Oryctolagus cuniculus: one gene and its partner. The protein of the gene in region 2 interacts with the protein of the main gene of each other region in a pairwise test. Links are inferred from orthologs where the notes say so. Each region holds a gene or a part of one and is shown on either strand. Other genes may lie near its edges.

Region 1 (3,648 bases), on a different chromosome or scaffold from region 2:
TTTTGCAATTTGATTTTTTATTAAATGAACAGGTATATCTACATAGATACACAGACAAAAGACCATGGGAAACTGGTAATGAAAATAAAAAGGACTTTTACTTTTTCCTTACACTATTTTGTATTTTGAAAATCAAAAGTAATTTTAAAAGTAAATGCCTCTTACCTTAATAAAACCCCAGATTCCACCAGCAGATGCTTCATCCTGGCCTTGACTGATTCTAGGATCTTCTTGCTCCTCTGGGAAAGTTATGGCTGATGTGGTTCCAGTTCCCTGGGCCACAGATGTCAAACTGGCTTGCTGAGTAATGGGAGTTGGCAAAATACCTAGTCAGTGGTAAAAATTTTAATATGTGTAATTTATTCTATAAACTTTGTCCTATCAAAAGATGACATAAAACAAGATGAGTGGCTTAACAGCCTTAATAATGTAACCTATACTGAGGCATTTCAAGATTAAGTTATAAACTCAAAGAATCACCCAGGCTTGTACAAAATGCAAATTAAATAGAATTCCAAAGAAGAAATTCATTTTCTTTAATACAAGCTTACATCAAGGGTTTTAAAGATTGACAAAAACATCTACATCAAGGAGTTCATCATGTCTGTCCCATTCAGCAGCTGAATGTGGACAGCAACCCCTCTAATCTCTTTAATCTACAAAAATATGAAGCAGCCAAACTCATCATATAAAAGGATGACCTACATTCACATATACTAAGACAGGGATGCAAAACTTGTACTCTCAATGTATTTTATGTGTAAAGGTAGGTAAGCACAATTAAATTCATAAAAATTGCAACAAAGTTGTCTCTGTTCCCTAACATAAGAAACAACAGGAAGGAGATGGTGAGATGAAGTTTTGACAACTGGTTTCCAATAACCATTCCAGATAAGCAGAAAGTGGAAATGGGGCCAAACTTGCAGCACAGCAGGAAAGCCACTGCCTGCAGCTCCAGCATCCCATATGAACAGGTTCAAGTCCCGGCTGCTTCTCTTCTGATCTGGCTCCCTGCTAATGTGCCTGGGAAAGCAATGGAGGGCGGCCCAAGTACTTGGACCCCTGCACCCACGTGGGAGACCCAGAAGAAGCTCCTGGCTTTTGGCTTTGGACTGGCCCAGCTCCAGCTGCTGTGGCAATTTGGAGAGAGAACCAGCAGATGGAAGACTACTCTCTGTCACTCCATTTCTCTTTCTGTAACTCTGCTTTTTGAATAAATAAATCTTAAAAAAAAGAATATAATAGAAGTAACTGACCCAGGATCACCAAGTCTTGGCACACTTGGGTAAATGACACTAGTCAGCCTTGACAATTTTTTAAGCAAAGCTTTGAAAAACACTCAGACTTCACCTTGCCATTTATAAGTGTACAGATGTTAGGACAAAATGCTGGAGTTTTTTCTGATACCTCCCATGCTAATTATATACAAAGTTTGGTTTTTTTTCTTTAACAGACAGAGTTAGACAGTGGGAGAAACAGAGAAAAAGGTCTTCCTTCCATTAGTTCACCCCCTAAATGGCTGCTATGGCCAGCGCGCTGCACTGATCCAAAGCCAGGAGCCAGGTGCCTCCTCCTGGTCTTCCATGCAGGTGCAGGGCCCGAGCACTTGGGCCATCCTCCACTGCACTCCCGGGATACAGCAGAGAGCTGGACTGGAAGAGGAGCAACCAGGACAGAACTGGCGCCCCAACCGGGACTAGAACCCGGGGTGCCGGTACCACAGGCGGAGGATTAGCCAAGTGAGCCATGGTGCCGGCCCTACATACAAAACTTTTAACAAATAAAAATAACAGGACCACCGCACATCGCTAATGAGAAAGTAAAATGGTGCACCTGCTTTGGAAAAGTTGGGCAGTCTTCAAGTAGCATAGGAGTAGCATAGAAGTCAGTAATTCCAGGCCCAAGTATATACTGAAGAGAAATGGAAACACATCCACACACAGACCTGCCCACAGGTATATGAAGCAGCACTATCCAAACCACGAAAAAGTGGAATGAACCAAGACCGACTGTTCAACAGATACAGCATGATCTATTCATACCCTGGAATATTATTTAGCCATGCAAAGGAATGAAGTGCTGGCACACTCTACAAGTGGACAAAGTCTGAAAATACTCTAAGATGTCAGTTATCGGAGATCACATGATTCCTTTTGTATGAAGTGCCCAGAATAAGCCAATCCAGACAGAAAGTAGATCAGTGGTTGCTTAGGGCTATGAGGATCAGGCAAAGTAGGGCGTAATAGGAGTGTTGGGTTCAAGTCCTGGCTCCACGCTCCATCCCAGTTTCCCACTACTGCACACCATTAAGAGGCAGCAGGAAACGTATCAAGTGGGAGTGTGTGTTCTCTCTCTCTCAAATAAATAAATAAAATGAATAATGAAATAAGCCTTCTCAAAAAAGTGACTAGGGTAATGGATGCACAACTCTGTAAATAGACAATTACTGAATTATGCATAGTATTTTTTCCAATCTTTATTTTATTTGAAAGGCAGGGAGATGGAGAGAGAGAGAGAGATCTTTCATCCACTGGTTCTCTCTAAATACCTGTAACAGCTGAGGCTGAGCCAGGAGCCCAGAATCCCGTCAGGTGCCCCACGTGAGTGACAGACTCCCAAATACTTGTGCCATGACCTCTGCCTCCCAAGTCCACAACAGCGGGAAGCTGGAGTTGGAACTGTGGCAGGACTCACACCCAGCACTCCGACACGGAACACAGGCTTCTCATGTGGCACCTTAGCCGCCAGCCAATGCCCACCCTAAGCGATACACTTTAAACGGATGGACTGTATGATAGGCACATTACACCTCAAAAACGCTGTCCGCTTTTAAAGACGCAACACTACCTGGAGTGCCGTGTTTCCTCACGAGTGAGAATTACCTGTCACCGGAGGTGCGGAGAAGGACGGCATGAGGGGCGTCTGCGGGGCTCTGCCGGCGTGGCCCCTCGTAATGTCGTACGTCGCACCAACAGAAAACCCTGATGTAGGCGGACCCGGAGCGGGGGCGGGTAGAAGGGCACTGGGAGCAGACGCTGAAGGTGGGAAGTGGAACGGAGGAGCATGACTGAAGGCAGCAGCAGGCGCCGAGGACACAGGAGGTGGCACTGAAGTCCCTAGTGGGGGGACAGACGGAACCGGGGAAGGAGGCACAAAAGGTAAGGGTGCCGAGGGCCTGACGGGCGCCAGGGACGGCTGAGGGGTCGAGTAGGCGTGCGGCGGCAAGGACTCCAGAGTGGACACGTTCGCAGAGGGAAAAGAACTGGTCGCAGCTAGAACAAACAAGAGAGAGGACGTGAGGAAAATATCGGAGATGCTCTTTACTTAGTTTTCTCGTGATTTTGTTCTCACAAATTTTAAAAAATGAACAGGCCACATCCCCAGGAACAACTATAAATGTTTAATTTAAAATATGCAGTAAATATGGTTGGGTGCAAATGACTCCTACAAGGAAACAGCTACATGAACTTAAATTATGACCCTGTTCATCAAGTAGATCTTAGTTGTTGGCTTATTTGTTTCAGTATGTTTTTAATAAAATAAAGCCATTTTTCATCCCTGGTGTGAATATAAAATCTAAGGCTGAAAAAGGTTAATCAAATCACAAGACAGAACAAACCTAGCACAGGACTTTTAGATATTCTGTTG
Region 2 (3,648 bases):
TGCTGTTTCGATTTTTCTCAGTAACATGTTGTTACATAATTTTTGTGAATATTTCATAGGTTACTTATTTTTTCTACTATGAAACACTCAGATTATTATCTAACTCTCTATTTTAATAGTTTGTAAACAGCTTTATACGTCCAGTCTTTTTCCTGTGGATATTTTTAATACTCAAAAATAAGGTTAAGTTGCTACAGAAACTTAAAGTTTTCAATATTTTTTTTTAAATTCTGTTCTAAAAGTAAATTTGCTAGGGGAGAATTAAAAAAAAACAGACATATGAGGTGACTGCAGTTCTCCAAAGAGCCCCCATATAGCACCTACCTCGGGGGGCCCCTGGAATGAGTAGGAGTAGAGGATGGGCTGGATCATGATGAGAGACTGCGTCAGATCCTGCCGCGCAAAGTGGTGCCTGTAATACGACGACTCATCGGGGCTGTTGTTAAACACCTGGAGGAACGGCGATCTTCTGAGGTGGAACATGAACTGCAAACACAAAGCGAGAGGCAAAGGCACAAAGCTGCAACCCTGCCGCGGTTCGGCAGAGGCGGCCCACCTCAGCACCGACACAGCAGAGCCCCAACTTCAGGAGAAAGGTCTCTACGTTCACATAAACAGGAAGCAGAAAGCGGTGCCTGGGGTCGGGGGAGAGGGCAATGAAGAGTTCTGTTGAATGGGTTGAGAATTTTGGTTTTCTTGGGGCCAGCGCTGTGGCACAGCATAAAACTGTCACCTGCAGTGCCGGCATCCCACATGGGTGCCGGTTCATGTCCCGGCTGCTCCACTTCTGATCCCACTCTCTGCTGTGGCCTGGGAAAGCAGCAGAAGATGGCTTAAATCCTTGGGCCATGTGGGAGACCCAGAAGAAGCTCCTGGCTTCAGATCAGCACAGCTCCGGCTATTGTGGCCAACTGGGGGAGTGAACCAGCAGACTGAAAATCTGTCTCTCTCTGCCTCTCCTTCTCTGTGTAACTCTGACTTTCAAATAAATAAATAAACCTTTAAAAAAAAAGAAAAAGAAAAAGAGAATTTCGGTTTCCCAAGATGTGACCCCCTGGGATCTGCTGGGTAACAACGTGAATAAACTTAACACTACCCAAATGGTTAACGTTTCTGGGTGCATTTTAAAGTTACATGTTTTTGACTATGATTTAAACAATGTTTAAAGGTCCTCGGGATATGGCAGAGCTTCCACGTGAAAGGGAAAAGGTCAAGAAACACTTAATTTCCAGAGCATCTGGTCTGTGCAGACAGAATATCTGCTCTCTGAGAAGTCAGGTCCCATGGGGAAAAAGCCCCCTGGGGCATCCTCACATCACCAGCCACAGCACTGAAAGTACTACAGCAGGTGGGGGTGGTGACGGGCCAGCCCACTACCCAGAGCTGTGGAGTTGAAGATAGATCCTGAAAGACATGAATGGGATGGCTGGAGGTCAGAGAGAGGGGACTGCAGGCCTAGGAAGGGCAGATGAGAGCTCAGGGCGCAAGCTAGTCCTTGGGGCTGCAGTGACAGGCACAGGGGAGAGACAATGCTGGGGAGGTCATGGTCCTCACCCCAAGAATTACAGGGGGCTGGGGGGCAGACTTTTCGCTCAGTGTGTAGAGCTGCCAGCATGTGACAGTGAGCTGCCTTGAGAAGTACAAAGCTTCTTGAGGCTCAGAATTAAACCACAGGCTACTAAAGACTAATGTGCCTGACATTCAGTAGATTCTACGTGCAAGGCACGACGTGCTTGCCAAGAATCATTGAATCCTTCCAATAAACCCACGAGTTCTCCTTATTTACAGCTGAGGAAACTGAGGCAGACAGGTGTGACCAATTTGCCCCAGGTCACTGCACTATGCAGTGGCAGCGAGGGACTCTCCTCCAGGCCACTGGCTCTAGAGACTGGGCTCCTGACGTCTATCCTAGAATGCCTTGACAGAGACTCCTTAGGAAAACCTCATCTGCTGGTTTTCCAACTGCTCTTCAAGAATCTCAGTGAAGCGAATGCTAAGGGCACTGCTTGGGGGAGCCACTGGGTGGGTGGGGTGCATGGGCACAGAGTGGCATCCAGTCCCTCTACTTTACGTGCTAGCTTTTGAGGAGGGCCCCTTGGAGAAAGGACTGCAAATCACTTCTCCAGACCAACTCCTCCCTTCTAAACTGAAATCCACAGGGGTTGGGACCTCACCTGTGATAGCAGTGGTGGGGCGAGAGCTGAAACTCTGCTCTGATCTTCACAAACTCCACCTGGCCTCCACCTGCCGGGCACAGACCCCGGCAAGTCCCAGGCTCCTGCTGTCATCTGGCTCACACGAAGCACTGAACAGGTGGCTGGCACCGCACCAGGTTTCAGTACTTGATGGAGCCCTCAAAGCCAGCCACAGAGCTCAGCTCTAGCTCACTCACAGACAAAGGCGGAAGTCTGGGAAACGTGGAAACCTAGGTCCATGAGAGCAGCTTCCTGCTCCATCCACTTCTCTCCTCTCTTCCCTTGCCCAGGGGCAGCCATGTGCTTCGTTTCAGCCTTTTGTAGTTACTTTCAGAGCTGCTAACTACCGATGCCTAAATAGGACGCAGCTGGATAACCACAGACTCACTGCGAAACGCTTGTCATGTTATGTTAATAACCTGTCATACTAACTGTGTTTTCGTTCTGTTAAATCATCTTGCCCTCACTTTGCTGGTTTGCTGCTGAGGGAACTAACTTCTGCAAATTAGAGATCTGGTTGTGGCCTACTGCCAAAGACCCTGCTTCGCCTTCTCAGGACACTAGATGCACTTGTTTTCTCCTGACTGTTCTTGCTGTCTTCTGTAGGGCCTGGGGTCGTGCCTCACACACACAACCTGGTCTTCAGTTAATAAAACTCCTACAGCTCCTCATAGAGGTTGGAAATGGAACACACTCTTCACTTTACTGCAATGGTTACTCTGCAGGAATTCTTAAAAATGTGTATTACTTACCTGAGGATATAGAGAGAAGGAATCTGATAACCTGAAAGAAGAGGGATCTTCTTTGTTATACTGTCCAAACTTCTGACACTGTGGAAAGGAAACATATTATTAAAAACAAACAAACAAAAAACTAAGATAGTGTCAGGTGTTAAAATGCAGTCGTCTTCTTTTTTTTTTTTTTTAAAGATTTATTTATTTGAAAGAGTTACAGAGAGAGAGAGACAGACAGATAGAGAGATGTCTTCCATAAACTGGTTCACTCCCCAAATGGCCTCAACAGCTGGAGCTGAGCTGATCTGGAGCAAGAGCCAGGAGCTTCTTCTGGGTCTCTCAGGTGGGTGCAGGGGCCCAAGGACTTGGGCCATCCTCTGCTGCTTTCACAGGTGCATTAGCAGAAAGTTGAATCAGACAGCAGAGCAGCTGGGACTCAAACCGGTGCCCATATGGGAAGCTGGCGCTGTAGGCCTTTAACCCGCTGTGCCACAGTGCCGACCTCTATGTTCCAGTCTTAACTCTGCCACCTACTGAGTCTAGACTAGTGTCTCTCAGGCATCAAGAGGCAGATGACCACCACTCACAGTGTGGGGGGGTGGGGGTTAAGATGCAGACTCTGGAGAGGAACTGCAGCTCCCCTCCTCTAGCAGTTCCCATTCAATGCTGGCCGAGGTCACCCCGGCCACAGAGGGGCTGTGTAATCTCTCAGGTGCCAT

What was found.
Region 1: the proteins of SEC23B (region 2) and PRRC1 interact in binary tests that used the Homo sapiens proteins (3 or more experiments, as listed by UniProt). The two-hybrid records come from large-scale screens. The link is inferred for Oryctolagus cuniculus from reciprocal best matches to the Homo sapiens genes SEC23B and PRRC1.

What each region holds. Positions count from the first base shown.
Region 1 is NC_091437.1:16,666,147-16,669,794, reverse strand, and holds part of PRRC1 (protein PRRC1), read right to left. Parts: intron 3,273-3,648; coding exon 2,883-3,272; intron 327-2,882; coding exon 166-326; intron 1-165. UniProt on the Homo sapiens protein: May act as a regulator of the protein kinase A (PKA) activity during embryonic development.
Region 2 is NC_091442.1:43,327,210-43,330,857, reverse strand, and holds part of SEC23B (protein transport protein Sec23B), read right to left. Parts: intron 3,026-3,648; coding exon 2,948-3,025; intron 487-2,947; coding exon 325-486; intron 1-324. UniProt on the Homo sapiens protein: Component of the coat protein complex II (COPII) which promotes the formation of transport vesicles from the endoplasmic reticulum (ER).